4 linked regions of the Alligator mississippiensis genome follow. The protein of the gene in region 1 interacts with the protein of each later gene in a pairwise test. Links are inferred from orthologs where the notes say so. Each region holds a gene or a part of one and is shown in the gene's direction. Other genes may lie near its edges.

Region 1 (7,376 bases):
CATTCTATGCATTCCCAGAGGGAACCGCTCTGGGCTAGCCGGTGGGGAAACCAGTTAATCATCCTTTCTGTGCCTCCAACAGCTCTCAGGTTCAATCTTCAGTGGCCGCAAATCGATACAGCTTCACCCAGGTCAACTCGTTACAGCAAGGAGCATTCTTGGAGGATGCCAACTGGTAAGCTGTTAGCAGGAGAAGCGGGATGCGGATGAAATGTATGGCAACCGCATGTCTCAGCCCCAGGCTGGGAAATCCCAGTCAGAGTGGAGCTTGAATCGGTGGAAGAGGGGAACGTGCTATTTTTGTTGGCCTTATAAAAACCCTCTGAAATATACGGGTCCAGTTCATGGGCCGTGTAACCAGCTGGCCCAGCTCCAAGCCCAAAAGGAGCTGTATTTGTGCAGCCCAGGCAATACCATGCTATATCAGAAACACTTCGATGGGACCCCAGCTGCTAAAAAAAAAAAGGGTGTGCCTTGGCCCTGTCAGAAATCTTTGCCCTGTTTGGCTGCATGTAGAGAAGCGTCAGTTCCTGCCCAGAAGAGATTTTAGATTTAAACTGGAAGGGGAGACCCAAGCAAGGATGTTAGCACCCCGCGGAGAGATTGAGTGGCAAGACTGAGAGGGAATCTGTATCAGAGGCTGTTTCTGGGACTCCACCCAGCGCCTCAGCCGCACAGCTATAGGCAAGATTAAGCAGGGTGATATCCTGGCCTGGGGGAAGTTGATGCTGGAACTCCTGTTTGCTTCCAAGGTCCTGGAAGCCTTGGCCTTGGCATGCCTGCCCTGTTCCTGAAAGCTGCCACGCAGCCTTCCCTTATTAGAGAGGAGAGTAAGGCGTGCAGTAGGAAATCAGCAGGGAAGAACTGCCAGCAATTGCCTTGGAAGCAAACAGGCAGTTCCCCTGGTGGGGGGAGGGCAGGCGGCACTCGGAGCCAATCTTTGACCCTCTTGTCAGCCGAACGGCGGTGGGTGAAGCCCTTCAGATAAACACGACAGCTCCCCTATTAGTGTCATTCTGTATGGGTCTGCAGTGCAATCCCTGACACTTGATGAGCTACAAAGAAGCATCAAAGACAGTGAGAGACAGATTGAGGAAAAAAGGAAGAGAGAAGAAAAACCCTTGCTGCTCCCTGAGGGATCTAGACCAAGCCACAAACAGCCAGGGTCAAGTTTAAGCTGAGTCTCACTTGTTGGCAGGAAATGCGCGCCTTGCTCTCAACATGTATCGGGGCCTATCATGTGCAATGGCATGACCTGCTCCCCCCCGACCGCAACTCAATGAGCAGCTGAAGAGGCAGGTTAGCGCTTTGTCCTGTTGGATCTCCCTGTTCCCCCCCCAGGCAGCTCAGCAGATGACAAAACCAGCTGAAGATCCAAGCAGCCACAGAGAGAGGGAAGAAAAAAAACTCCAAAAAAACCTTGGAAATTGCCTTTGAAAGAAGGAGAGAAAAATGAAAACCAACTCAGGTTCCCTCTGGCCTCCAAATTCCTCCCCAATTGTTGGCTTCCAGCAGCACCGGGGAACTGTTTTGACATGAATGAATAGGCTCGACGCCCAGGCTCCTGGGGGGCCGGAGGGGTGTTGAATTAAATATAAAAGGCACAGAGGGAACCATTTGGTTGGCAAGCTGCGAGTCCCTGCAGGCGATGGGCATATCCTACGCGGGTATTTATGACTATCCTACAGGGGGAAGATTGCCGAGAAGGAAGCAGCAGACGCCGCGTTTCCAGGGATGTGTGTGCAGATCAGAGGCATGTGAGGGGGAAGAGTCCAGGTGCTCCCACAGAAAATCTCAGCCCCATGAGATTTAATGCCATAATTAAACATATAAACACACCACTCTTTGCTAAATCCTTCCTGTTAATGATGGCTCCAGCTGTAAGGTGAGGCAAAAGTCTGTTGGTTCCAGTGAGGCTTCTCCAAAAGGTTGGATGTTCTCTCTTTGCAAGATGACCTGGGTTTGGACCTGGTTAGGGGTTCCCACAATTTGTTTAGCGGGAAAGATAGTCCATGGCCCTCTTTTCTCTTTGTGGAACGTGCTGGGGCTGTCTTACAGGTCTGGAAATTGAAAGCCTGGTATCCGGAAAAGATTTGATGCATTTCCGCAGGCAGCAAAAGACTCGATCCATCCTTCCTGGCCTTCAACAGCAAAGGATTTTTGTATCTCAGACCAGCAGGCCACACACAGAAATGTTAATGGGGCAGGGGCACAAAGCTAATAATCATCCCAGCTGATCTGGGGAAACAGAAAGGGGAGAAATTTGGGACCACAGATCACCACTGACATGTTGGGGGAGCGGCGGATTTGCACAATGGAAGGTTCGAGGGACATCACATCTCCTGCATGCTTCACACCATCCGGGGATGGACCACTAGTCAAGCAGGCACAGTTGCATACCCTGATCTGCACTTTTTCACCCACCGACCCGCCAGTTCTAGAAACGATAAAACTACCATCTCTCAATCCAGGGGCCTGGAAAGACTGTGCCTAAACAAAACCCATTAAGCAACTGGTAGGAATCCTCACTCAGGCCCTGACCTTGCTGTCGAGTCTGCTCACACGGAAGTGGTGGGCGGTGGATGACATTCTGGAGGCTCGTCCTGCAAAGCAGGATACAGCTACCAAAAAGAACAAGAGATTAAAATGAGAGATGGTGTCCTTCATTTCTTTAAGGAAGGGGGTCCTGGCTGCTCTCGTGTTGGAGGCCTGGAGGAGGGAGGTTGGAAAGTAACAGCTACGGGGGATGGCGTTCTTCACGTGCTTACCTAGGGAGGGCGAGGATTTGGTATGCAGCGGAAGCCCAACCATGCCGAAAACGTAGAAGTCTGGAATTCCCCCAATCTACTGGCAGTTCCCCTCGCCCAGACTCCTTATTTAACACGTGCATGTGTCCCCTTGCTCATGTGAGCAGACCCAGTGGATCAGGCCCTAGGGACCTGCTTGTGGTTTTTGACATGCCTTTTGCTTGCTTGGTCTAGCAAGGTCAGCAGGTCCTCACAACTGTCCAGAGGCCGTCACAGGATCAGAGCCCTCCAGAATATCGTGTCCTGGTTTGTTTGTTTTTTGGATGCACCCCACTTTCTATTTGTTTTCTTGGGGAGGGGGGATGCAAAAAGCACTTTGCAGCACTTGATACCAGTGAAACACTTCAGTAAAATAGTTCAAGAGAAAAATAAAATAAGGAAGACACTGAAATATTTGTAGTCCCCAATTTTTAGTGTGCGCGCGTGTGTAGCTGGGCGGGGGGGGGAGGTAAGATGGGGAAGGTATTTAGAAAGAAACAGAAAGGATGGTGCTTTTTTTTAGCAGAAGGAAAATAAAAGTGCTGGAAAATAAAAATACCTGACATGAGCTCCCCCCCTCCCCCCACCAAAAAAAAATAACATCAAGGAAAACAGTTAAATACTTCCTAACAATGCCCTTAAACGAATTTGGACCCTACACTTAAATGAATTGCAAGGTTGTTTTTTGGGGTTTTTTTCATTGCCAGACAGGCTAAAGAAAGAAAGAAAAAGCCACTCCCTTCTGAAGTATTTAGAAGTAAGAAAGGGAAGGGGGAAAAAAAGCCCCTTTCCCCCCACTCTCGCGTAGACTAGTAAAGAGGAAGCAAAAAAAAAAAAAAAAAAATCATGGTGTTACTAGTATGGAACTAGTTAACCTTTAACAATTTATGCTGATGTCATACTGAGCATGAGTACTGATTAATCCAGCCTTTTCTCTCCCCCCCACCCGGGTAAAAAATATTTTTATTGAGGGAGGTTGGGGGGGGGGAGTATAAGAAAAAAAAAGAAATAATTTAGAGCAGCCATCTTTGTTTTATGCAGAAATCTTTCTCTTTCAGTTCCCCCAGTGCCAGGAATATACAAATATTGTTCATCTATGCAATGATCTGAGATCTTTGCGAGAGATTAAAAGAAACCAAAACAAAACAGAGAGAGAGAAAGAAAGAAAGAGCTATCTATATTTATATATATATTGAGAGGGAAGGGGGAAAAAGGGGGGGAGCGCAGATTTTTTTTGGGGGGGGTGGTTATTGGTGCCTGATTTTTTTTGTTGAGGCTTTTTTTTCCTACTCTTTTTAAAAATCTTTCTTGGGTTTTTTTTTTTGTTTTTTGTTTTTTTAACCTCAAGGAAGAGGTGTGTGTGTCGGGAGGGGGGGGGAACTTTTTTTTTTTTAAAGAAGCCAGCCATCTTGTTTTCTTTAAAAAAAAAAATAAAGAAAAGGGGTGGAAAGGGGGGGGGATTTTTTTTTTCCTTTTTTACCTCCTGGGGGGGCCTGTTTTAAAAATAATTGAAGGGCGGCCATTTTTGCTCCTTGCTCTTGTGGAAAATATTATTCTGAGCGGCCCCCTCAGCTTTGATAGAGATATATATATATATATTTTTACCCCCACCCCCTTATTTATTTTTTTTCCACGGGGGGGGGGGGGGGGGGAGTTGAGTGGAGTTTTTTTCTCCTTTTTTTTTTCCTCTCCTCGCCCCCCCCTTTTTTTAACCCTTTTCTTCATGGGACTTTTCCCCCGTGCTGTGTTTTCGGTGTTGTGAGGGGGGAGAGGGTTCGTGCGTGGTGAGGGGGGGCTCCCCCTTCCCTCTCCCCCTCCCCGCCCCCCCCCGCACCACCATGGCTTCCCCTCTGAGGGAGGACGAGGAAGAGGAGGAGGAGATGGTGGTGTCTGAGGCGGAGGGGGATGAAGACGAAGAGGAGGAAGAGGAGGAGGAAGAAGGAGCAGGGGACAACAGCCCCGGCGACATATTCCTGCCCGCCGCCCAGGCGGGGCCCATGCCCCTGGCGCCAGCCCCAGCAGCATCCACTCCGCCCGCCGCCGCGGCCACTGAGGCGCCCGCAGGTAAACAGCCCCCCGCCTCCCCCCCGAGCGGGGCGCCCCCCCGGCCCCTGTTTGTAAACAACCAACGGCTTTGGAACGTGGCGGCCCGAGGGTTCCACGCGCCCCCCCCCCCCCGCCCCAACGGCTCCGCCACCGCGAGGGGCCCGGCCCGGCCGCCCCTCCCCCCAGCAGCGTCCGCGGCCGGGGAGTTTCTGCCCCCCCCCCAGTTGGGCCGTTGAAGGTGGCGGGAGTTTGTAAACACCCCCCCATAGTGGGTGGTGGGAGTTTTTAGCCCCCCCTCATATTGGGCTGTTGAGAGTAGTGGGAGTTCGTAGCCCCCCCCCCCCCGGTCTATATTGGGTGCTGGGAGTTTTTAGCCCCCCCCCCGCATATTGGGCCGTTGAGGGTGGCAGGAATTTCTGAACCCCCCTGTATAATGGGTGATGGGAGTTTTAACACCCCCCCCCATATTGGGCAGTTGAAGGTGACAAGAGTTTCCAAGCCCCCCTCTGTATTGGGTGGTGGGAGTTTCTAGCCCCCCTCCCCCCATATTGGGACATTGACAGTGATGCAAGGTTCTGCTCCCCCCTCTATATTGGGCCATTGAGAGGGGCTGGAGTTTCTAACCCCCCTTTATATTGGGTGGTGGGAGTTTCTGCCTCCGCCGCCATATAGGGCCATTGAAGGTGGCTGGAGTTTCTAGCCCCCCCTCCTCTATGTTGGGTGGTGGGAGTTTCTAGCACCCTTCTCATATTGGGCCCTTGAGGGTGGGGGGAATCTCTAGCCCCCCCCATTGGGTCATTGAAGGTGGAAGGAGTTTCTACCCCCCCATATTGGACTGTTGTGGGTGGGGGAGGGGTGGGGCTTAGGAGAGTTTCTAGCCCCCCCTTGAGGGTTTCATGGGGGGGGGTTCCTCACCCTCGGTTCCTTCTCCACCCTGGGTTGGGGCCTGAGAGTGTCTAGCTCCCCCCAGGAGATTGTGGAGGGGGATCCCCCTTGTGTCTCCACCCTAGGGGTTGGTAAACAAGCCCCCCCCAGGGAATTGTCTCCTTAGGCAGCAGCAGTGGGGGGCAGACCCCCATCCCCCTTTCCCCCCCATCACTTTAGCCAGGTGCCCCCTCCCCCCACACGGTAGGCCCCACACTGCTGAAGTGCTGAGTGCCCCTCTGTTTGCATGCCCCCTCTTCTTCCCCTGCCTCAAAGATGGGGGGGGGGGTCTGGTCACTTCAGGAGGAGGGTCACTTTGATGGGGGGAGCCATCCTTAGTGTGCTTGGTGGTCTGCGGAGTGGGGCCTGGGGTCAGGATGCAGTCAGTTGGCAGCAGTGGGGGGCACTTGACACCCTCTGGCCCCACAGGGGGTGGGTTGGCAGGAGTAGAGGGTGCCCGTTGTGCCAAACAGGCCTGTGCGTTTAAGCAGGATGGTGCTGGCGATGGTGCAGGCCGGGTGGGCGGGAGGATGTGCGACTGGATGCGGCCCGTGGGTACTTGGCAGCAGGCCGGGCTCTTGGCAGGCAGGTTGGGGCCCTGTGGGGAGCCCGAGGCCGGGAGGGTGTCTGCCAGGTTGGACAGGGCTGAGATCACTCGGGGTCACCATGCTCAGTGGCTGCTGGGCCTTGGCCAAACGGAGGGCGCCGCACAGGTGGCATCTGGTTCTCCGCCTGGGGATCAGCCCTCGCCCTCATGATTTTTGTGGGCACAGGGATCTCTCAGCACCCAGCTCGATGGGGCTGGCGGGATACGGGGGTCCCCTGCAGGGCTGAAGCTCCATCAGCAAAAGGTGCCCTGGCAGATCTGCCCACCGGGAGCAGCCGGGGTCAGGCCTGGTGGGCGGGAAGGGTGACTTGAGGACAGGGGGAATCGGGCAGCCCGGGGTCAGGGCCACATCAGCTGCCGAGCTTGTCTCTAGGGACAGGCCTTGTCAGCCGTGATCAGAGCAAAGGCGGGGAAGCCGGTGCCTTATGGGAAAAAGCTTCAGGTGGCGGGACAGGCGAACCCGCACACCAGTTGCCTGGGACATGTTGCCTCGGCCTCTGAGCCCTGGGGTGCTTGAAACCCCAGACCGATATAGCCGGGAGCCTTTGTTGTTGGTTTTGAACGCGCAGCTTCCCCCAGCGGAGCTGGCTTTGATTTGCTCTCTGCAAATCACGGAGCCTGGGGGAAGATGTGAAGTGTTGGGAAGGGGGGGCGGTGGAGGCGTGTGTGTATCAAATGCCGCCATTTTCCCTTCTGGATCAAGCCCCATTGCTTGGAGCTGTGCACGCTCATCCCCCCCCGCCTCGCACCCACTGTCTTCCATCACAGGATTGCCCACGGGGTCCTCGACTTCTCGCTCGCTCGCTGTTTCATTCATGGTTAAACACGGTGGGTTTTAGCATCAGCCCCAGCTCTTGGTGCCTTTATAATCTCCCGCCATGAAGCATTACATTGAAGATTCCAAAGTTACTCTGTTCTTGATTCGAGAACAAGCCTCAGTTTAATTACTGGGCCGCAGCAGGCTGGCTCAGGCAAGAGTGGCGTAGGATCAAACGTCCCTAGAGACCCTCGGG
Region 2 (7,156 bases), on another chromosome or scaffold:
TTCCAACTAGTGGATGGTTTTTGGCTGAATATTCTCCTACATCCTCTTGCAGGAAACGACTATCAAGAAACCTGGCAATGTCCAATCCTCTTCTACTCATAATTTTGCCTCCTGATAATTTTTCTCCAGCGGACTATTGACTTGTCTGCTGGGCAACTAGCCAAAGCACCTTATTTAAATTTATCTTTGAATATTCCAGCTCTGGACTGCCAGAGCAGACAGCAAGAAGAAATGGATAGGGTAACGATGTGGACTTGAACTTCCAGTGGCCACATTGCCCCAGGGAAATGTTAAGCAACCTTAAGTTGCAATACTGAGGAGGAGTTGGGGAGTGATGATCGCTGGCCTGTAAACATCCAAGTCACTTCTGCTACGCTGTACTTGACGTGGTCTAAAATTAAGTAAAAGTTACTAAGTTAAACAGGACGCTTGGTGAGTGAAGTTTCCTGAATTTAGGTTAGAAACCAACTAGTGCTCCTATATTACCAAAACTGTTCTGTTCTGTTATTGAAAGGTAAGATGCCTATCCCCACAACATGTTGTGCAAGGACTTTCCCTTTGCTTTTTAAATTTTTTTTATTTTTTTATTTTTTTTAAGCAACCGCAGTCAAACAAGGTGACATTTTAGGCATGTGTCAACATTCTAATTTAGATATTGCAATATTTTTTATGGTCAGAATTAGTGGGAAATTTGCAGGTGCTGAAAATGGTGAATTATAGAATTTATGGATTCATGTTTTTTGTCCTTTTTCTATAGAATTGAATTAATGTTTTGAGTTTAAACCACACTTCATTCATCTATGTTGGGCAATGTCAGTGTTGGGTCAGTAGATCTGTAGAATGTACCTAAAATATGAATGTAACCCAGTTGGGGGGAGGGCAGGGGGACAAAAAAAAGGCCCCAAAATTTAAAGTGTACAACCTCCAGAAGCCTTTCTCTCCTCTTAAACAGAATTAGTGAATGATCACAATATTCTCTGAATTTACTTCTAAGAAGATATTTTATTTTAACGAGTCTTGTCTAAGGCCTACTCCACAACACTTGGGGTATAATTTTAAATTGACTTGTTCACATCTATGTTTGGAAAACGTGTGTGACAATCCTAGTGGGAACAAGGCAATTTTATAATCTTTTTAATATCTTTATTTATAGATGGTGTGAGTACACCAGAGAGCAGTTCTGGAGCTATGAACTTCAGTATTGCAAAGCGGGGTTGAAGAGAACCACACTTGTGAGCCAAGGCAGCAGTTTAAGTGGCTCTACAACAGTGCTGTATCCTGAAGATTTATATAAGAAGTGCCCAGAAACTTTTCTTATTGGCTGTGCGCTACGAAAAACTACGACCAAAGGTAATTGACTGGAGAATCTCTCTATCTAAATCAGGGGCAGGTAAAGCCTGGCCTGCAGGCCATATCAGGCCTGTAGTGGCCTTCATTTCCCTACAGCCCCTGCCTGTGTTGCTGCGGCCAGTTTCCATGGAGACCCCAGCAGCAGTGAGGCCAGGGTTTCTTTCCATGGAGACCAGCCCCAGCAGCACTGGCAGGGCATGCAGCTGGGTGGGGAGCTGCTCTGGGATTGGGATCTTGCGCTGGTGATGGCATGGTCTGGAGCCAGGGCGGAACTGCGATCTGCTGCCCCCATACCTGGGGCAGGGATGTGCAGGCTGTGGATCATGGCTCTGCCCTGGCTCCGGACCATGCTGTCACTGCTGCAAGATCCCAGCCCTGGCCTCATAGTAGCTCCTTGCCAGCTGTGTGCCCTGCCAGTGTTGCTGCAGCCAGTCTCCATGGAAACCCTGGCCCTGAGGTCCCACTGCTGCTGGCATCTCCTTGGAAACTGGCCACAGCAATGCAGGCAGGGGCTGCTGGGACATGGAGTCTGGTACTGGTCAGATCCATCATTTTGACCACCCTGATCTAAACAAATCCCTTCCCATAACCAAGAACTCAGCCTCCATGTCTTTATCATCAGTTGTTCTTAGGATTTCAATTCAACCAGTTATAGTGAGTGCTTGTGGCTGATATCGATAGCCATTCCCCAGGTCACAGAATGAGATCACCCATATATTTGACAGACGGAGGACCCAAGCAGATGGTAACTCATTTTGGTCATTTAACTTGGATCACTTCCTGAAATCCTGATGTGGAGTTACATAATTGCTTTGAAGGGTGATGGACATGGTGCCCTTATCTTTTCATCTGCTACTGCTTTTGAAAGAGATTTGTACATCTCTAGTACGAAGGTCCTTTCCCTGTCTCAAGAACAGTAGGACATTGAGTTAAATCTAAGGGTGGGAAATTTGGAACCAACAAATAGTTTCTCACACAACTTGGTTAATCTATGAAAGGTATTGCCCCAAGACATTAATAGAGCCAAGAATTTAGTACTAAAAATGGATTGGCTATCTCTAGTTGTTAATGAACACCCAGCCTGTCAGAATTGCTGTAAAACTTTTGGAAGGACCACTAAACCTTGTGCATTACTGCTTAAACTAGTCTCTAATTTAAATTAGAGACCAGAGGGAGACTTGTACAGGGCAGGTTATCCCATAAATGGTGTGTTTTATGCTGTCAGAGACAGCATATAGATGTAGTTTTTTAATGACCTTGTATCTAGCACAGCATAGATGCACCTTTCCATCTCTGGGAACATCCTTCTTCAGCACTTTCATCTGACCATGTTTACTCCCTAATTATTAAATAAGATTTCAAATGTTCAAGCCAATACTTCACGTGGAGTTGGCCCTTCCTGTTTTACCTGCATTACTTCTAGGATTCTCACTCGATTTTTATCATAATTGTGTAAGAACCCTTTTGAGTCTCTAAATCAAGCAGCAGTTAACAGTAATCTGTAGCTCAAGATTGTCATCCCCCACCCCAAACCCTATCCCCTAAATATGAAAACACCCTGAAAATGGCTACTGTGCCACTATTGGATTCATATGTATTTGCATGCGAGAGAAAAGGAGACTTTTTATTTTAAAAGGTTTGGGCTAAAAAATTTGATAACCACAAGACACCTGATCCCTTGTTTCACAGTACTTTCAGCCTTACAACAAAGAGAAACCTTATTTGGGGGAAAAAAAAAACCAAACAAAGAACAAAAAAACTAAATTTGAGTTTCTACACTGACTAGAAAGTACCTTAAGTGGTTTCAGGCAGAAATACAAGGGTCAATGTATAGTAAAACTGATCTGAACATATCAACATATAAAAATGCATGTTGGTCTAATCACAGATCTGTGCTGCTTGCTTTTACTCCATATTCTTAAATGCTACCTAAGTTTATGCAAGTTAGAATGGCTTCCTATGCAGATGATAATATATTTCCCTAAAATTTGTAAATATGCAGTGGCCAGTCTGACTAATCCCTTAACTAAATCCTACAAATGCCAAATGGTTTTGTGGCTTTTTTTTAAGTAGTACTGTGTGTCCTTAAGGACACTAGGGGAACTTTTATTTTTCAAAAGTATTTTTATTTTTCAGGAAGACTCCTGAAATCAGCTGCATCTCTCTGCATGCCTATCTAAAAGTAGATGAGGATATGGACTTTTTTAAGTGACGAGAGGTACAAAGCAAGCGGCCACTCCCCTCTCACTTGGTCGACTCTCACTTGTTGCCAGCGTGAGCTGCGGTTCCCCTGCTTGAGCGGTGGCGGGTTGGGGCGCTATGTCTTGCTGGCCTGGGGTTAGGGTCTGGATAGGGGCTGCCTCCGTCCCTTGCAGAGAAACATGTCGCAGATTGCAAAGACGCTTATCCGGTTTCATTGCACATTCCGCTCCCTCCTTTCCGTATTTTAGTCCTTTAATGCTTCCCCACCCCACAGCTGCAGGCTGGAGCCTGCGCGACACCGCCACTCTTAGGCGTCCCCAAGGGCGGCCGCACGTGGCTCAACTCCCGGGGCGGGCGAGCAAAGGGGCCCGGAGCCAGTGCGCAGGCGCGGCCTGGCCAGCCCCCTGCACAACGACGGCGCGGTGGCCGCCGGGAAGCGTAGTCCAGCCCCGCCCCGCGCACGGGCTGCCAGCGGCGCGGGCCGCCTGCCGCTCCCGTCGTGCCCCGCGCGGGCGGGCGCCGGGCCCCGGATGTTCCCGGCGCCGGAAAAGAAGCGGGTCTCTTCAGGGTCGGCCATCTTGTGCGGTCGCGGGCAGGGGTCCGGGGCCTGGGCAGCATCGGAGGAGCATCCCGCCGACAAGGGCCCATCATGCCCGGACACCTGCAGGAAGGGTTCGGCTGCGTCGTCACCAACCGCTTCGACCAGCTCTTTGACGACGAGTCCGACCCCTTCGAGGTGCTGCAGGCGGCCGAGACCCGCCGGAAAGAGAGCGGCGGCGGCAGCAGCCAGGGGGGCGGCGGCGGCGGCGGGGCCCGCAGCGGCCCGGGGGCGCCGGCCAACTCGTCGGGCGGGGCCGGCGGCGGCGGCGCGGGGCAGGCGGGGGCCGGCGGCGGCCCGGGCAGCGCGGCCAAGCAGCTGCGCAGGGAGTCGCAGAAGGAGCGCAAGAACCCGCTGCCGCCCTTCGCCTCCGCGCCCGGGGGCGCCGCCGAGCGCCGGGACGAGGGCAGCGCCCAGCCCGCCGCGCCGCTGCGCAAGGAAGGTGAGCGAGGAGGCGCCGGGGCCCACCCACGTGCGGCCTCGGGCCTGCAGCGCGGCGATGGGGCGGCGGCTTCCCGCGGGGGGGAGGACTGGCCTGGCGGGAGCCCCGGCTGCTGGGCCGGGGTCGGGTGCCTGGGAGCTGCCCGAGTGCAGCCGGTGGCTCCCGGGCCACGTGCGGGCCCTGCCGCCGCCTCCTTGCAGGTGCCGCAAAATGGAGTCGGTCTCTTCATGCCTTGTCCGCTGCTACCGCTGTTGCTGTGGTGGAGCCCGAGCCCGCTCATGCGAACAGCCTGGGGATGGGGAAATCCTCGCTGGGAAAGAGCTGCCAAGAAACGAGGCCTGGAGTCCGCTCAAGGGGTTGTGGGGATTAACAGCCCGGGATTGAAGCTGCCTTGTTGGGGGAGGGGTGGGGTTTTTGTGGGGGATTTGGTTGGTGGGTTGTTCGTTTTTTTTTGTTTTTTGTTTTTTTTTTTTAACAGGTTCCCCCCCCCCCCCCCCCCCCCCCCCAATTGGTTGAGGGTTGTAGAAACTGGCTTGTGGCCTGGCTTGAGGTTCCTTTGAATGGGATGAATGTTAATAACTTTGCGTTCTTCAGATGCATCGTTCCCTGACGTCGCACGTGTATAAGCATCGTTCGCTGACGTTGCACGCAACCGTTTAATGGGCGGGTGGGGGAGCGTAACTTCTTATAGGAACAAGCGAAGGGAATAAAATGGAGCAAAATTAAATGAGTTACTTTTCATATCCAAACTAATGGTGCAGCACTGTGTGAGCACATGCTAAATCTTGTGCATGGGCCTTGTTTCGTAGCAGACAATGGGACTGCCCTTTTGCATATGTTTAGGTATTTTCAGGGTTGTGGACACATTTTGGAACATTTACTGTAAATGCTGCTTTAGTGTCTTGAAAGTGCCATGATATTTGGAGAAGGAAGCAAGGTGATTGCAATGTAGCTGAGATGAAGAAGCCTCTTCAAAAATCTTTAGAGTAGAAAAGTAGAATTGATATAAAGCATGACATTCATATTCCACTTCCCTTCAATACATCATGTTGGAAAATGATCCTCCGGACCTTTTCTGTTGCTTGAAAAAAGGTGAACAGTTCTAATAAAACCTGTCACTTCAAAACATTTTATCCAGGAAAATATTAAGGAAAACATTTTGTGTTAGGCAAAACTGAGAAACAGAAAGGGAGCATAATTTATTATCATGTGGGTATTCTCTACTTCAGAGCTGGGGGCTTAAGACCAGTTCAGAGCTTTGGTGTTCTTAAAAGTGGAATAAATGGTACAAAACATGATTGATAGTTATTAAGTGGTGGGGGAAAATTTATGAGGAGGGAAGACAGACTGCTGCCACACCGATTGTACTTGTGTTGACCCCTGGTTGACATTGTAAACTTTGAGATGTTTATTTGGACAACTCCCATGTTGAAAAAGCTCTGTTTTCTTTATTTCAACTTTCTTGTGCCTCCAAAATGACTAGTAACTTGAGCCTTTTTGCTGCAATTGAAGACATCAGAAAAGGGCAGGTCTGTTTGCTAGAATACATAAAGATGGTTTCAGATTTGTTGAGATGTAGTAGTTGAGAATTCAGTTTTAATTTTATGTGATCCCCCCCTGCTTTTTTTTTTTTTTGGTTTGGTTTTTTTCATTATTGTTCCCCCTAGTGCAAGGACAAAATGGATGGATAAACATTATTTTATAAGTTTGATTCATGAATACAAATGTGTCGACTCACCAGTCATGAAATTTTCTAAATTGCCCACGTGTTAGTCAAAAGAATGGCAGCTTTTCAGTTGGTGAGCTCTGCATACTTTTATAATATATAACCTAGATATGAATGTAGTTGATAAGGCAACAAATAAGGATTTTTTTGTAAGGTACTGGCCTGGGACACGAGATCTGGGTTCATTTCAAGTCTGAGTTAGTACTACTTTACAAAGTAAATCCATTTCATGCAGATTATTTAACAAGAAGCTTTATTTATTTATTTATTTAAACTAATGTTGGATAGTGTTTCTAGAGCAGGGAAGCCATTGTTCATTTGGGTGTTTGACATGATGGAGATCATTACAAATGCAGTGGCTATAACCCCACCCACATATGTTGCTTGCTTGATAGGGGTTTGCTCAGTTGGGGAAAGATATAAAATATCACAGTGTTCTTTTAATAAGAGGACACAGAGTATAGTTAAATTCCCAGTACTTGAAGTGTAAACAGAATCCTGCAAAATAATTATGGTAGCTATTCTCAGAGAAAAGTTACTATTTTCAAAGCCAGATTTCATAGACTAGGGCTGGAAGAAACCTCAGAAGATCATCGAGTCCAGCACCTCGACCGAAGGGCAGGAAGTCAGCTGGGGTCATAGGATCCCAGCAAGATAAGCATCCAATTTTCTCTTGAAGGTGTTCAGTGTAGGTGCTTGAAAGATATTTTTTTCTCCTCAGATATTAAGGCTGTCCTGCTGATTTGATCTAGAATTTATTATGTAGTTTGATTGGGCATTAGAGCAATTTACTTATACAGAAAAATTAACAGAACCTAGGCTTCTTCTGCACCTGCTG
Region 3 (7,448 bases), on another chromosome or scaffold:
TGACAGGCCTGAGATCACTCAGCAGGTCAGTGCCAGGACTGGGGACAGTCTATTGCGCTAACACTGCAGTGCTTGATGTCTGTGGGGACAAAGCAGGACCTGCTGGCTTGGATGGGTTGAGCGCCGTGACATCTCAGCAGCCTCTCCCCAGAAAGCCCTGCTCTGCCTGCTGGGGAAGGGGCCAGGAGGGTCTGCTGCTTCACAGAGGCAGGGAGATGGGAGAGGATCTTCCAGGAGAGAGAAGCGAGGGAGGAACTTGAGGGAGGAATGCTTGGAGCAGCCAGAGCGGTAACAGGTACATGCACCCCAAGGTGACAGGAAGGGGCAGTGGCCTAAAGGCAGAAGACAAGGGATTGCCGAGGCTGCTATGGAGCCTGGCGACTGCAAGACGAACCAGCTGCCGATGCCTGGAGTAGTCAAACTTCATTACAACTCCCCCACCCTGGAAACGTTTCGGGGGGGGTTTCCTCCTTCAAGCCCTTCCCAGCTGATGGCGTGCAGGAATCTCCCAGTGACTCATAGGGGATGGAGGGGGAAGTGTTAGGGGCTAGCCATTGCATTATCTGCCTGTGGGAGGGGAGGAGAGGGGGTGTTGGAGGAGCAGTTCCCGTACTTGGAACAGGCACCATGGGATTTTAAATGAGCACAAGCACTCGGGACCTCTCTCTCACTTGTCAGTGGAAAAAAACACCCACTCCAGCAGCCGAGCACTGGTTCATGGGTTCATCATGGTGCCCCCGACCGACCGCCCTCAGATACTCACTTCACTCTTCTTAAACCTGGCCCGCAGGCTCTTCATGGTGGCTTTGTCCCCGTGCTCTGGGCTGCAGGGGGTAGATCTAAACGGGGGATACAAAGCAGCTGTAAGATCCTAGCAAAACTCTGGCCCTTCATCGGCAGTCTCACAATCAGTCTCAATATCTTCCTGTGCCTCCTGCCCTGAGGGTCCTGATTCGGGGTGCTCACCATGTTCGAGAGGGGAGAGGACTGGAATGGCATTACATGTGGCATCAGACCACGGCCCTCCACCAGCCGGCTGCAGGGCATGGACGATGGGCACTGTAGGGGCTCAAGGCTCTGTAGGTACAGACAGGACACTCAGCCCCAGGCAAAAATTTTGGCTGACTCTTCATTTTGGCCCTGACCCTGCAGGATAACTCATGTTAAAGGTCCCTCCAAGCTGCCGGTCTCTGACCAGCACCTCCTCAGCACCTGGGAGCTCACCTTGGTGCCCAGGCGTGTCCCAGCCATGGAGGGAGGAGACCTCCTCTCTGTGCCTGTGCTAACACAGCCCCCACCACAACAGGGGTGCTAGAGGCTGGTGATGCCACAACTGGAATATAGATGGAGGGGCCAGGTGGAGTCTGTGGCATTTGCCCTGGCTATTGGGTGTGCTCATGTGCCCGGGAGAGAGCGCAGAGTCCCGAGACAGGGCGCTTCCTGCCTGTGCCTCTGTGGGAAGGGGAGAGGCTGGCAGTCTGGTTGGCCTTACTTCTGCAGCCTCCACCTCTGCAGACCCCATCCAACGCCCAAGACCTCCCTGCCCACGAATTCCTGACCCTCGTGTCCACAACGCCCCGAGGAAGAGGCGGAGGCTGGATGGGTGTGTGGGGGGCTGCTCCCTTGTCACCTCGTGCCTCTGGGCAAAATTCCTCCCTGGACCCCTTTGAGGAGTATTGGCCCCCCCCCGGTCTAGCCCTGTAGCCTTGTGTTTGCTGCCAGCAGGCCTCCATGCCCCCACCCTCCAGCCTCAAGGTAGCTCGACAGCCCCCCCAAAGGTACCAGTCTTTTGGGCAGCTGTTTATTTCAAATGCATGCACCCCTTCTCCACCCGCAGGCTCTTCCTGCCCCGCTGCTTGAGAACGCCGGAGGGCTGGGTCTCCCGAGGAGGCATATGCCTCCACATGACTTCAGTGTGGGCTCCCCAGGGCCTGAGGCACAGGCAAATTAAGGGTCCCCCATGGCAAAGAGACAGAAACCAGGAGTGCTCATCCTCCATCCTCTCGTCTAACCCCCCCCCAGCCCTGCCCTGCTGCACAGCCCTCTATGCCGTGCTGTACCATGCTAGCACCGGACAGGAACCCAGCCCGTTGGCATTGCTGTCAGCTGTCAGGGCCATTACTTTTGCCTAGGGACCTGCCTCCTTGCCAATCTAGGTGTTTGCATTGGCTCTGGAGCAGTCTCCCAGGATGTCAGAGCCCCTGGGAGTCCCTGCACTTGTACAGAGCAATGAATGACTTCATATATTAGCCCTGACTTGTTCAGCTGCAGCAAGAGTCCCTCAGTCCTGATCGCAGATGTGTGAAACCTGCAGCTCCAGGGCTACCGGACTTTGGGCCAGTCTCGCATCTTCCCTCCAAGCCCCATCCCTACCTTGTTGATACCGTCAGGTGCAGCTCGGGCAGGTTCTCACTCCTCTGTTACACGTTCAGTGCCAAGGGCAGAACAAACTCTGAAGAGTCTCCTTACTTCTGTCTTGATTGATGGGAGCTCACCGTATCAGAGGTGGCCCAGCCCGGGTGAGGCTGTGTCACTGCGAATGAGGAGAAACCAGGGGAGGGACATCGCTGCACTGGGAATTGGGTTACTTACCTGCTACAGGTACGATTACCTTGCTACAGCGGGCTGCAGCTCAGCGCTGCACGGTGTCCAGGGCACTACATTACTCTGGAGCTGTGTCTCCATCTCTGAGCATCTCCATAGTCCTGAGTAGCCCAGATGTCACAGGTGCAGAGCACTTCTCATCATCAGGCCCTCCATACCCCTCAGGCTCCCCACTAGCTCTGGGAAGCCAGGGTAATTATTCTCCATGCATACCATACCGTTAAAGAACCTGGAAAGCAGCAGCAACAAGCAAGGGAATGGAGGGTCCTGTTCATGGATGGCCTCTAGGCCCTGATCCTGCAACAGGCTCCACACCTCGCAGGGACATCCCCCATGGAGCAGCCTGGGGACTTGGTTTGTAGAGCTAAAGGTTTCCCTTGATCTTCAGCGTGCAAACATGACAAGATGTTGCCCCGTGATTCCTTTTCTTTTCTCTAAGGCTTTGCTAGAGCTGAGGGACCCTCCCACAATCCCTGGGAGGTAGGTATTGTTTTTTTCCACATTACAGATAGGAACAGAGAGTCACAGACATGGGAAGCGACTGCCTCAAGGTCACTTGGTTGGTCAGGAACTGAGGTGGGAAAACCAGGCACATTGAGCACCAGGTCCAGGGATCGCACAATCCTCTTTTCTGTGCCGAGATGACTGGAACCTTTAACCCACCCGGAGCTCAGCAGATCAGGACCTGTGCTTGCTAATTAATGGATTTTTTTTCTCTAGCATCTATAGCAGGCTGGGCACAGAGTATTTGAGCAAGTAGACATGCTCCCAGCCAAACAGTGGACTGTAAAATATCTTGCAAAGACTATGAAGGGAGAGAAAGAACAATGCACAAGCCTAGACTTCGCAGTGGCAGGAGGCCTGCTGAGGAGTGCTGGAAATGGCTTGCAAAATCCAGTACTGAAAGGTACCATTGGGTCGGCTTTGTCCTTGCCCCCTGCTTAGGCATCGCAGGGCTTCCACTTTAGGACAGGTGAGGCTGCACATAGGGTGTTCCCCAAGCAGGAAAGCACCAGGCACCGCAGCCCATCCGTGGCCCCACCAAGTCCCAGGACCTCCCAGTCAGCCTCCGGCCAAGCTGGCCATCTGCCAGACCAGGACAGAGGCTCAGGCTCAGGGAGCCTGGTGATGTGGGGCTGTCCTCTCACTTCTCCAGGCAGTGTCACTGGCGGGTGCCCGCAGGCTCCCCCGACTCATTCAGGGGGCAGCGGGCGCTAGTGGGCGCGCTCTGCTCCGTGTCCCCTTGGATCCCTTGTTTTGCACCCGTGACCGCGCTCCCTTCCCTGTTTTCTTTTCAGTCGTCCCAAGCGGTCAGCTGTTGCGCTCTCCCTTTCTAACGGGGCTCCCAACTTTCACAATCAACAGGCCTGGAGAAGCTACAGGGCACCTGCTGCGCCCCTTAGGCAGCCTGGCTCTGCTCCCTGACAACTGTGGGATACGTGGTATTTCTTTAAGCGCCAGCTCCTGGAGTCCAGGGATGGGGGGGATCCCCTGTCAGAGCAGCAGGTCCTGCAGTGCTGCTGCAAGGAGGACCCGCTGTCCTCCCCCAGAGCCAGGCACATCTCTCCCCCTGCCAGGTCCAGGCGCCTGCCCCAGCTCTGCCAAGGACGGGCAGAGACCTTTCTGCCAGGAACCAACATGGCGGCACCGCCACCACCGCCCGGGGCTCGTGCGCATGCGGAGTGAGGCACGGCGGCTTCGCGACGCCCGGCGCGCTTCCGCCCGGCCGGCAGGAATTGACAACAATGAGAACTTTATTGACAGCGGCGCGGAGGCGGGCGGCGGCTGCGGGGCCATGTCGGTGAATTACGCGGCCGGGCTGTCCCCCTACTCGGACAAGGGCAAGTGCGGCCTCCCCGAGGTGAGTGGCCGGCGGTGCAGCACCCCTCGCCCCTCCCCCACCTTCAGCCCCTGGGGGGGGCTGCTGCCCCATCCCCTCCCCTCCCCCACCGCCCTTCCCCCCCATCCTAGGGCCTGGCCCCGCCCCCACCCCACCTTCTGGGCTCTGGCCCCGCCCCCTTGGGTCTAGTCCCGCTCCCCATCACCCCCTCCTGGGGTTTGGCCCCCTCCATCCCCTGCCCAGGGGACAAGGCACCTGTGCTCCCCGCGCCCCCACTCTGGCAGGCGCCGGGGGGGCAGTGGGGTGCCAGGGTGCAAGCCCCGCTAGCCCAGCCTGCCGCGGGGGTGCCCCCGGCCCGGGCGCTGCAGAGCGCTCCTTGCCCCAGGAATTGGGGAGGCCTGGGCTCTGCTTCCTGCCTGGGCAGGGGCCGGCGCTCACCTGTAGCTGGGGTGTGTGTGTCCCCCACACGCAACATGGCAGGCGTGGGTTGGGGACCAGCGGCCACGTGCCATCAGGTTGTCAGCCCGGCGGGCAGGGGGTCTGCACCGCGACGTCTGTCCCCTTCGGTGGAGCAGGGCCTGTCACCCCAGGGAACGGCTGGTGTCCGTCCAGCCCCATGGAGACTAACGTTGCCTTGGACGTGTTGCTCGGCAGCGTCGCCCGCGGGCAGCGAGCATTGGGCTTTGGTCTGGAGGCTTGGCCTGTGTCTCGCGCCATCCTTCCTGCAGGCCGGCGGCATTTATTAGCTGCCTGAGAGGGGCAGGGCTGGGCCTCAGGGGCCCCGAGATCTTTTTCGGGTTCTGCTGTGGCCAAGTCATGTCACTTAGTAAAGTCTCAGTTTTCCCACCTGTAAAACGGAGGCAAGGAGGGAGGGTATCTATTGTTACCTGCTTTGAAGAGAGCAGCAGTGAGAGGGCAAAGTATTTCTCAGCCAGTTAATTACTTGCTGAAATCCAGAGCAGCTCCTTGCCTCTCTGAAGCAGATTGGAAAGGAAGATCTGGATGTCCTGAGCGGGGAGAAGTGTCCTCTCTAAGATAATGCTCTTTCTACCCTGTTAAGTGCTGATGCACTTTAGCTATCAGCAGCAATGTAATCTTGTTCTCCGTCTCTTCCTGCGCTTGGGGCCATGTGGGAAACTTATTTCTGTCTCCATTTCTTTCCATCAGATCTTTGATCCTCCGGAGGAGCTGGAGAGGAAAGTGCATGAGCTGGCCGACCTGATAAGGAGTTCTTCCAACGTGGTGTTTCACACTGGGGCTGGGATCAGCACAGCCGTAGGGATCCCCGACTTCAGGTGAAGGAAGAAAGATCCTGTGTTGTTGAAGCAGAGTGGGATTATGGGTAACGTGGCATGCTGAGCATTAGCTTTCTCCTGGTTGCTATGCGGCTATAAAAATTGATTTATATTTCTGTACTTCGGTTTCACCATCTATAAAATCTCTGTAGTGCACAGGCAAGAATTCATGTGGGTGATATCTTGTACTGGAGGAACTGCGTGGTTGGCGTAGGCTTTGGGGTTGCAGTATTGTTGCTCAGGTCTCTGGGAGAGAAGCAGGCACAGGTATTTTGCAAAAGTTTAGAAAATGCCTTAAGATTTGCGGAGGAAGGGGGCTATGAGGAGGTGGGGGTGTGATGGAAGGTGCCTGGAGTGATCACACTGATGGTGTTTGCTAATGAAAAGTGATTTAATCCTGGCAGCATTGCCAGCCCTGGCTTAGTGACTCAGTGGGTTAAGTGCTGTAGGGAAGATGTCCTGTTTCCTCATTAATTATAGCTGTTGTTTTTCTGATTTTTTTTTTTTTTTTCCAAAACGCTTCTCTGTGGCTGTGGGATGTTGGGATGTGAAAAGGTTGCTTTCCTTCTATGAACTCCTAGCTGTAGTTTGGTCTCGGGTTTGCTACTTCATGGCCCAAATGGGCTGTGATCGTGCGTTGAAGTCCATGGGACATTTCTCTGGTGCCGGTTCTGCAGTAGTAAAACCGTATCCCAGCGTTCACCACTCAGTACAGTTGTTTGGTGTGTGCTGGGTAGCGGGGGAGCCCAGAGAGACTGTGAAGCTAGGTAGTTACGTTTGAGGCTGTCTCCTAATACTGAGCAGCTTCTGTATCTCTGGGCTGGTCTGTTCTTTTAAACAGCAGGTGACACCATGCCTTTGGAGACCGGCCTGGGAAGCTTGTGAACAGGGGTTGGGTCTGTGGTGCCCACTGGGGCGATTTCTTGGGGGATTAAGCCTGGTATTTTGCCATAGTTGAGTTTCCCATTGTGGCTGCTCCCTGCTGGTTCCCTTCGCTGCTGAGGGCTGTGGCTACAGCCAGACCCATGCATCTCATCCCTCCAGAGAGGGGATTGTGTGTATAAACTGATGCCGTGCAGTTTCCTCTAGATACACCCGCTCCCTGGTGATGCGGCAGTACCCAGAACCTCCCTGCCCGGTGGTTCCCCTGGCCCGCAGGGCTCTGCTCTGACAGCAATAATCCATGCTCAACTATGAAGGACACTGAAGTTGCCCAAGGGTGTATCACAGCCCAGGCAAGAGCAGGTGTTCCCTTGGTGTGAAAGCACGCAGGGGAGGGGATGTTTTAAGGGGATGTAATTAAAAGCAATGGGATGAAAATGAAGAAAAAACAGTGTGGGCAGGACATAGGGAAGGTCTTGGTCACAGAGGCTCAGTGTATGGGCTGGCGTCTCAGGGAAAGAAGTGGACGCACCATTTCTGTGTCCTGCAAAGCATGGGAAAAACTTCCTTGTGATGTTATCTAGCCTGCAGCGGGATCAGCTGGGTCCCACCAGTCTTATCCCGCATCAAAGCTGCCACGTGGTGCGCTGCTCCCTAGGCAGGGGCCTGTGCTGCTGTCCAGGCTGAACCCAGAGATTGCTTAAGCCAGGTCCTAGGAGGTAAACGTTACAGTGGCTTCTTCTAGCTTGCTCCACTGCTCCTGGCAGCCTGTTTCCCAAACCGCAAGCTATGGCTTTGCAGTGCTGTGGGGGGCTAATTAACTCAGG
Region 4 (7,421 bases), on another chromosome or scaffold:
GGCCCTGCTTCTGACAGCTGAGTTTGGTGATGTTAGGCTGGTAGCTGGTTGTTAAACACAAACATGTATCCAAATGGTCAGTCATCAGATGGTTTCTCATAGGACCGAGTATGGTTTTCATTTGTGAAAACACGTGTTCACACCGATAAGTAGATCCAAAGACAGACAGCAAGGCAAAAGCTACTTATTTATTCATGCATACTTTTCAGGAAGGGAAGACCAACATAATGTAGTCTTGAGTTACCATTCCCTTTCATTCTCAAATTTACCTTGCAGTGATGTGAACTTCAGTGCCCAGATGCATGAGCTTTGAAAGTCAAGGAGTACCAATTTAAATCCTTCAGTGTTCATCCACTGAAAGTACCGCAGTTCAATATCACTTTCCCTAGTACTGTCCAGGTTCACAAGAAATGAAAATATGAGTCCTCTGTTGCAAAAGTCTTGGAAACATCTGGTGTACACATCTTCCAGCTGTCCTATGTAGTTGCACATATTCCTATTATTCAATTGATGCTGCTCGGAATGGATTTTCAGACTGGGGTAGTAACAGAAGGCAGACGTTTCGATATCTCATCTGAAAACAGACATCTTATCACAGAAAGCTTTCCAGTCGTCAGACAGCTGAAGGATGGTTTTCTGTGTTCCTTGTAACCTAGTATTCAAATAATCTAAATGTGATGTGATGTCTGTCAAAAACATCAGTTTTGTTAGCCACCTGTCATCAGTAAGGTCTGCATATTGCTGACCACTTTTTTCAAGAAATAACTAGGTGGATTCGAGACAAGCAACAAATCGCTTGAGCATGTTACCTCGACTCAACCAGTGTACATTACTGTGCAGCACTAAATCTCCATATGCAGAATCCACATCATTTAAAAGTTCACGGAATCCCCTGTGTGTCAAAGAGGAGCGGGCAATCAAAAAGCTGACATTTTCACACCACTGTCATGATTTCATTTAAATCAGAAGATGAAATCTTAGCGCACAGGCTCTCCTGATGAATAATACAATGGAAACTTATAAGAGGATGTCCAATCTAAGTTTCCAGAAGCTTTACAAATCCAACTGCTTTACCCACCATAGCAGGTGCACCATCAGTGGTAACAGAGAACACTTTGTGCAGGTCAGTTTGTTGCAGTGTGAAAATAACTTTGACAACATTAAGTATAACATTGGTCTTTGTTGTGCTTTGCATAGCATGCAAAGAAAACAATTCCTCCCAACTTCCCCAGAGACAAAATATCAAACAATTATAGCAAGATGCCGGATATCGTTTATAGACATAAACTTTCACCCAGTGCAAGGCTCATCGCATCACAAGCATGGAGGTCTCGAGTCACTTGTTCCCTAACATTAGTTGCCATTTCATCTATTTTAGCCTTTGAACAGTCCTGGATGACAGCGGCATTTCACCAGTATGAGCAATGATGTCTTATTGGCAAAATCCTCAGCACGTTTTAAGAAAGAATCCTTTAAGTTGTCTCCATCTGTAAAACACTTGCCTTTCCAAACTTTGTTTTTTTACTATCCATAGTTATATATTGATATGCCTTCTACCTGTAAAATTTCCTGAAGTTCACACAAACCGAAGGCAGCACAAACAATTTAAACAGGCAAACAGAAAGGAGAAAATCAGAAAGAACTGAATTATTTGAAGTACATGTAAATCTGGGTAAGTATTTCCAAGAAGGCAATCGAAGTGCAGAAAACACACACACACAAATGAGCAATATGTAGTGTTTAAATCAAGGAACGCAAAGCAGAGAGATCAAGATAAACAGAATACAAACAGTTTTAATAAAGTAAAAACCTGAAAAATATGAACTGGTTTAAGAGAATGAAAAACTGAATAAGAAATTATTTTCAGAGCAAAATAAACTGATTCATGTGAAGTGGCTTGAGAGAGAGCAAAAGCTGTATATAAGTCCATTTAACAGAGCAAAATAAGCTGATTCATGTGCAGAGAGAGCAAAAGCTGAATATGAATCAAAATAACAGAGCAAAATAAACTGATTCATGTGAACTGACTTGAGAGAGCAGAAACTGAATATGAATCCATTTAACAGAGCAAAATAAAGCTGATTCGTGTGCAGAGAGAGCAAAAGCTGAATATGAATCCGTTGAATAGAACAAAACAAACTAAACAGTACAAACTGGCTTGAGCGAGAGCAAAAACTAAGTCTGCAATAATTTAACAAAGCAAAATAAAATGGCATAATATGCAATCTTAAACTCTGTTTGCAGAATTGTTTTTTGTAAAAATATATGTCTATATGTATATGAGGTTATACATATCTATACTCCGAGTATCACTCCACAAAGAAAACCTTAACCCGTTACAAAAACCACACACATACAAAGGACCGTTGGCCACCTGGACCTATTACAATATCTGCCTTGCACGCTACACACACACATATACACAAACTGGTCTCTCAGACCAGGCAACCCCTTCCTTTCATCCCCACAGAAATCAGCACTAGTAGCAACAGGCTACTGAGTGAACTGCCGCCCAGAGCCACGTGCCTACCTCATATAACTGGAGGCTGGGTGCAGCTGGGGGCAGGGTCCCTGCACCCCCTAGCAAGTAACTTCATGCCACTCTCTTCTTTTTTTCTAAATAAACATCTCTCTCACAAGGCTGTTGTATATTGCCAATTAGTTTGAATAGTAAACTGAACATGTAAAGCGTTAAGTGTTGTTAAATGCTGATTCGTAAGGATGTTGTTTCATGAAGGTGATAAAACACTGGTGAGAGACAATGGCCACCTTTTACCCCTTTTTTTTAAAGCATAACATACTGTTGACATCAATGACAGATCATACTCCTAGCAACCAATATATAATAATTTAGCTATTTTGCCTGTCTCTAATCAACCTACTGTAGCATAAACAAGCAGATGTGAAGTATGCTACCACTGTTTCCTGATCTCACTGTCTCTGATTCTGGTAAGATGCTATCAACACCACCAGCTTTGTGACTCGTTCTTATGACAATCCAAAACTTTTCCTGGAATCTCTCTTTTCTACTTGGCAAGAATTGCATACATCTAGCCAAATTAGAAAGCTAATTTCTGAAAAACCGAATGCTTCTTTAGGCTTGCGCTTTTACAGTGCTTGTAAAATACTTGATTTGGGAGTTGTAATTCTTCCCACAAGTAACTTCCTTTCTTGTCACCTTCCTTACAGGAAGGCTACAGAGATGGAGTTGAGGCTGGAAAAGAATGTGCACTCCAGCAGGGCTTCAATCAGGGATACAGAGAAGGGGCCAAGATGATGAGGACCTGTGGCCAGTTCAAAGGAATTCTAAAGTAAGTTTTGAGACCATGATCTCTTTTTGAAATTCTAGCTGTACTATTATTCCAGTGCTAAGTGGTTTGGCACTTGGGTCAGTGAAAGACCCAAGTGCCAAACTCTCTCAGGTTGTGCTTAAAAGTTGGGCAGCACAACCTGAGAGAAATCTAGACTTCTGTGCTAGGCACCTAGGTGCTCCCTATACAATGCATGTAGAGACGTTGGCATCTCAGTATGTGATCCAAAACGGCCAGCATGCTCCAGCTGTCTAGAGGTAGCAAAGAAGAGACACTGAAGACAGGGAGAAAATCTAAAATCCCACCTTTTGGGGTTAGGTCAGAACTGCACGGAGGCTGCTATTCACTCGGGATCCATAGCGGGTAGACTTTCCTAAAAAAACCTGCCTACAGCCACTGCCTCTCTTACAAGCGGGGTGCTCACTGCTCGGGGCGGACGAGTGTCTGTCCCGCCTCCTCCCAGCTGTCCTGAGGGCACGTCACATCCGCCCCCTTCTGCCCCGCCTCTGAGTCTCCCGGCCCGGGGCGGGTGCGGAGAGCACAGACGGGGACAAGGGACCCGCCGGGTCGTGGTAGACGGCGCGTCCAGGCGGAGGGCGGCGCAGGAGCCGCGCGATGCTGCCCCAGCCCCTCCCCCCGAGGCGCGCATGCAGCTGCCTCAGGCCCGGGGCTCTGAAGACAGCGCCCCCGTTCGCAGCCTGCCCAGCAAGCTGCAGGCAGGGACGCCTTCTCCCGAGCCAGGCCGGGGTTCAACAGCCACTCCAGCACTTGTCCCGCCCTCTCTCCCAGGCCCCGCCCTGCGCGGCGCTACATGCGGGAGGGTGCCTGCTTCCCCCTGGGGGCGGGGCTGGACTGGGAGATGCCGCCCTCCCCGTGCGGCTGGGCCCAGCCCACTCCCGGCCCCGCCCGCGGAAGAGGCGGGGCCGCGAGCGCCTGAGCCGTCCCCACGTGAGTGCTAAGGCGCGCGCGCACCTCGGAGCAGGGGGCGGGGCCGGAGGCATAGGCCCCGCCCCCTTTGCGTGCTGTTTCCGACGGCCCGGGAAGAGGGGCGGGGTTTGAGCGCGGCCCCCTCCTTCCTGAAGGACCCAGCGAGCCGCCGGGCCCCGCTTGATACCACCGCCAGGAAACTGCTTGGGGTAAAACTCCTCGTTAGGAGCCGAGCACCCAGTCCCGCCGCTATTCAGTTAAATATAACTGTCCAGCACCGTGAAGTCAATCGGTCTACTTATTGCACACAAAGTTAAGGACACCAGTCTTGGCAGGATTAGAGCTTGAGGTTGTGTTTTGGTCCCCAAAACGGGCACAAATAGTATTGAGGACTCGGGTGTTGTTTCAGAGGAGCTGGAGACGGGGTAAGTGCTGGCAAAAGCCAACAAATTGAGATGCACAACGTAGTTTTCTTTGACACAATCTGCCTTGCTTCCTTTGACAGACATTGCCTGGCATCTTGATGCAATGTGAAAGTAAACCTGAAATTGGGATTACTGGTTTCTGAGGTTAGCTTTCCTCAAAAACCTGCCCTTCCTGCCTGGGGTTCTGACTTAGTGCTGGGGTGGAAGCTCTGTTTGGCATCTGACTGTACCTGTGGTGTTCCTAGGAGCTCCTGCTACCATGTCCTGGGTACAAGCTGCAGTCAGCAGGCCCAGAGAGGATGTATTCGATGAAGATGCTGATGAGATGCACCTCGTACAAAAAGAGTGGAAGAGCACCATGGAGAAAAGGATCAAGGTAATCTTTATCACCGTCATGATGTTTTCAGTAGCCTTTTAGCCGTTTTCTTTCCTACTGCTTAAATAATGCTTGTTTAAATAAGCAAAAGTGAGAATGGCTGCTTACAAATTAGGCCTGTGCGAAGCAGCAGGTATTCGATTCGGATTCAGCCAATTCAGAGGGACGGTGATTCGAGTTGCTGTCCTGATTCAATTCGGCCGAATTGGATCCAAAGATTGGGCGACAATTCAGAGATTCAACCGTAGACTAAACAGGCAGCAGTCCTCGACCATGCTGGCCACAGCTGCTTCCAGCTGATAAGTCCGTTGTGGTGGGCAGAGGTGGGAAAGAAGGGGCAGGGTGGGGGGCATGTAGATCAGTGCCCCCACAGCAAGGTGGGGATTGGGGTTGGGGCTGGGACTGGAGCTGGGGCTGGGACAAGCTGCCCAGTCGGGGCAGGGGAAGTGCAGGATGTGGGAGTGGCAGCACTTGGAGCAGGAGCTATGCCCTGCTGCTGTTTGCCCAGCCGGGGGGTGGGGGGCATGATGGAGGTGCGGCTCACTCTGGGCAGAAGGCACTGGGAGCAGGGGCTCTGCCTTGCCGCCGCTAGTCCAGCCAGGGGGGCGTGCAATGCAGGTGCAGCTTGCTCCAGGCAGAAGGCACTGGGAGTGGGGGCTATGCCCTCCTGCTGCTCGCCCAGCCGGGGCGGGGAGGCACAGGACCATGCCACTGCACTGCCTCGGACAAGTAGTGTGCAGTGGCAGAAGCTGTTGCAGCCTCCGTGTGCCACCTGGACAAGCCGCAGCTTCACCCCGCCATGCCTCGGCTGGGCAAGCAGCAACAGTGCATTGGGGTGGGCGAGTGGACCCGGATTGAGGAGGGGCCAGCGGCAGGGGCTGTGGGGAATTTTAGGGTTGCTGCAGCCCCCCCCATAGCCCCTACTTCTCTGCGCTCTGTGGGGTGGGCGGAGCCAGGGCTGCACTCTGGACTGAGGCTGGGGCTAGGTGCCAGGAGCACCGCCCAGGCCCTACCTACCCCACAGAGTGCAGCCTGGCAGCAGACAGCTGGAGCTAGCCTCCTGGAGCGCAGCCCGGCCCAGCCTACCCCACGCAGATCCAGGGGCACACGCCCGCTCCCATGCCCTCCCAGACCAATGGTGTCCAGTGGCAGGAGACTCCCGCCCCCTTACCCTGGCTGGACAGCTTGTCCCAGCCCCAATCTCTCCCTCGCTGTGGGGGCGTTGATATGCCCCCCACCCCATGCTCCTTTCCTCCCCCCTCTGCCCATCACAACAGACTTACCAGCTGGAAGCAGCTGTGTCCAGTGTGGTAGAGGACTGCTGCCTGTTTACTCTCCGAATTGGCGCTGGATTGAATCAGAGGCTTCCGATTCAATTTGGACCTTTTAATGGTGTCCTGATTCAATTTGGAGATTTGGCCGCCAAATCAGGCCAGATCTCCTCCGAATCAAATTGGCTACCGCAGTTTCGCACAGCCTTAGTAAAGATCATGATGGTTCAGTTTCTTCTGAGTGACTTGAAAACTGAACAGAATTAATGAAATGATGCCAAGTGGAACATATTTGAGATTCTTTTATTAAGAGACTGTCTGAGTATTCCTGAAAATCCAAAAATTTATAACCACAATCCTGAATGCTTAACTCTACCCCAGATTAAATATTCATACACATTCACTATTCAGTTACAGTTTATAATGATGGACTCTTGCTGCATAATTGTACGTAAATCTATTCCTTCAAATACTCATGGGCTTTCTGCTTACAAATTCCAGTGCATCAACAGACACACACACATGCTTAGTGGCAAAAATATGCAAAATCAGTCATGTGATCATTCACCTTTTTGATAGGGAACACCGTCATAGCAGAATTGTTGCTAAATATCTGCTGCATTCTGTCTTTAAAAAGGTGGGAACCGAGAGGTGTGGTGGGCTTGAAAAGTCTTCTAACCTCGATTTGTAGCTTTGCCACTGACCTTCTTTGTGGCCTTGGGCAAGTAACTTAATCTCACTCTCTCATCTACTTTTATAAAATAATAGACATCTCTCTCACAGGGGTTGTGTATAATGACAATTTATATAGTAAACTGAAAATGTAAAAGGTTAAGTGTTGTAAAATGCTGATTCATAAAGAAGTTGTTTCATGAAGGTGTTAGACACTGGTAATTGAGAGACAAGGCCCACCCTTTACTATTTTTTTTTAAGCATAACATGCTGTTGACATCAATGACAGGTCATACCCGTAGCAACCAATATATAATAATTTAGCTATTTTGCCTGTCTCTAATCAATCTACTGTAGCATAAACAAGCAGATGTGAAGTATGCTACCACTGTTTCCTGATCTCACTGTCTCTGATTCTGGCAAGAGGCTATCCACACTA

Evidence for each region.
Region 2: the proteins of CHD3 (region 1) and SERBP1 interact in binary tests that used the Homo sapiens proteins (3 or more experiments, as listed by UniProt). The link is inferred for Alligator mississippiensis from reciprocal best matches to the Homo sapiens genes CHD3 and SERBP1.
Region 3: the proteins of CHD3 (region 1) and SIRT6 interact in a two-hybrid assay, tested with the Homo sapiens proteins (2 studies listed by BioGRID and IntAct). The link is inferred for Alligator mississippiensis from reciprocal best matches to the Homo sapiens genes CHD3 and SIRT6.
Region 4: the proteins of CHD3 (region 1) and YAE1 interact in a two-hybrid assay, tested with the Homo sapiens proteins (2 studies listed by BioGRID and IntAct). The link is inferred for Alligator mississippiensis from reciprocal best matches to the Homo sapiens genes CHD3 and YAE1.

Annotation. Positions count from the first base shown.
Region 1 is NC_081838.1:24,914,210-24,921,585, forward strand, and holds the start of CHD3 (chromodomain-helicase-DNA-binding protein 3), read left to right. Parts: upstream 1-4,298; 5' UTR 4,299-4,624; coding exon 4,625-4,850; intron 4,851-7,376.
Region 2 is NC_081828.1:18,225,880-18,233,035, reverse strand, and holds the start of SERBP1 (SERPINE1 mRNA-binding protein 1), read left to right. Parts: upstream 1-4,099; 5' UTR 4,100-4,201; coding exon 4,202-4,592; intron 4,593-7,156. UniProt on the Homo sapiens protein: Ribosome-binding protein that promotes ribosome hibernation, a process during which ribosomes are stabilized in an inactive state and preserved from proteasomal degradation.
Region 3 is NC_081839.1:5,435,944-5,443,391, forward strand, and holds the start of SIRT6 (NAD-dependent protein deacylase sirtuin-6), read left to right. Parts: upstream 1-4,347; 5' UTR 4,348-4,399; coding exon 4,400-4,465; intron 4,466-5,611; coding exon 5,612-5,739; intron 5,740-7,448. UniProt on the Homo sapiens protein: NAD-dependent protein deacetylase, deacylase and mono-ADP-ribosyltransferase that plays an essential role in DNA damage repair, telomere maintenance, metabolic homeostasis, inflammation, tumorigenesis and aging.
Region 4 is NC_081828.1:124,882,330-124,889,750, reverse strand, and holds the start of YAE1 (protein YAE1 homolog), read left to right. Parts: upstream 1-4,306; 5' UTR 4,307-4,447; exon of another isoform or gene 4,448-4,663; intron 4,664-4,743; exon of another isoform or gene 4,744-4,807; intron 4,808-4,908; 5' UTR 4,909-4,922; coding exon 4,923-5,039; intron 5,040-7,421. UniProt on the Homo sapiens protein: The complex LTO1:YAE1 functions as a target specific adapter that probably recruits apo-ABCE1 to the cytosolic iron-sulfur protein assembly (CIA) complex machinery. May be required for biogenesis of the large ribosomal subunit and initiation of translation.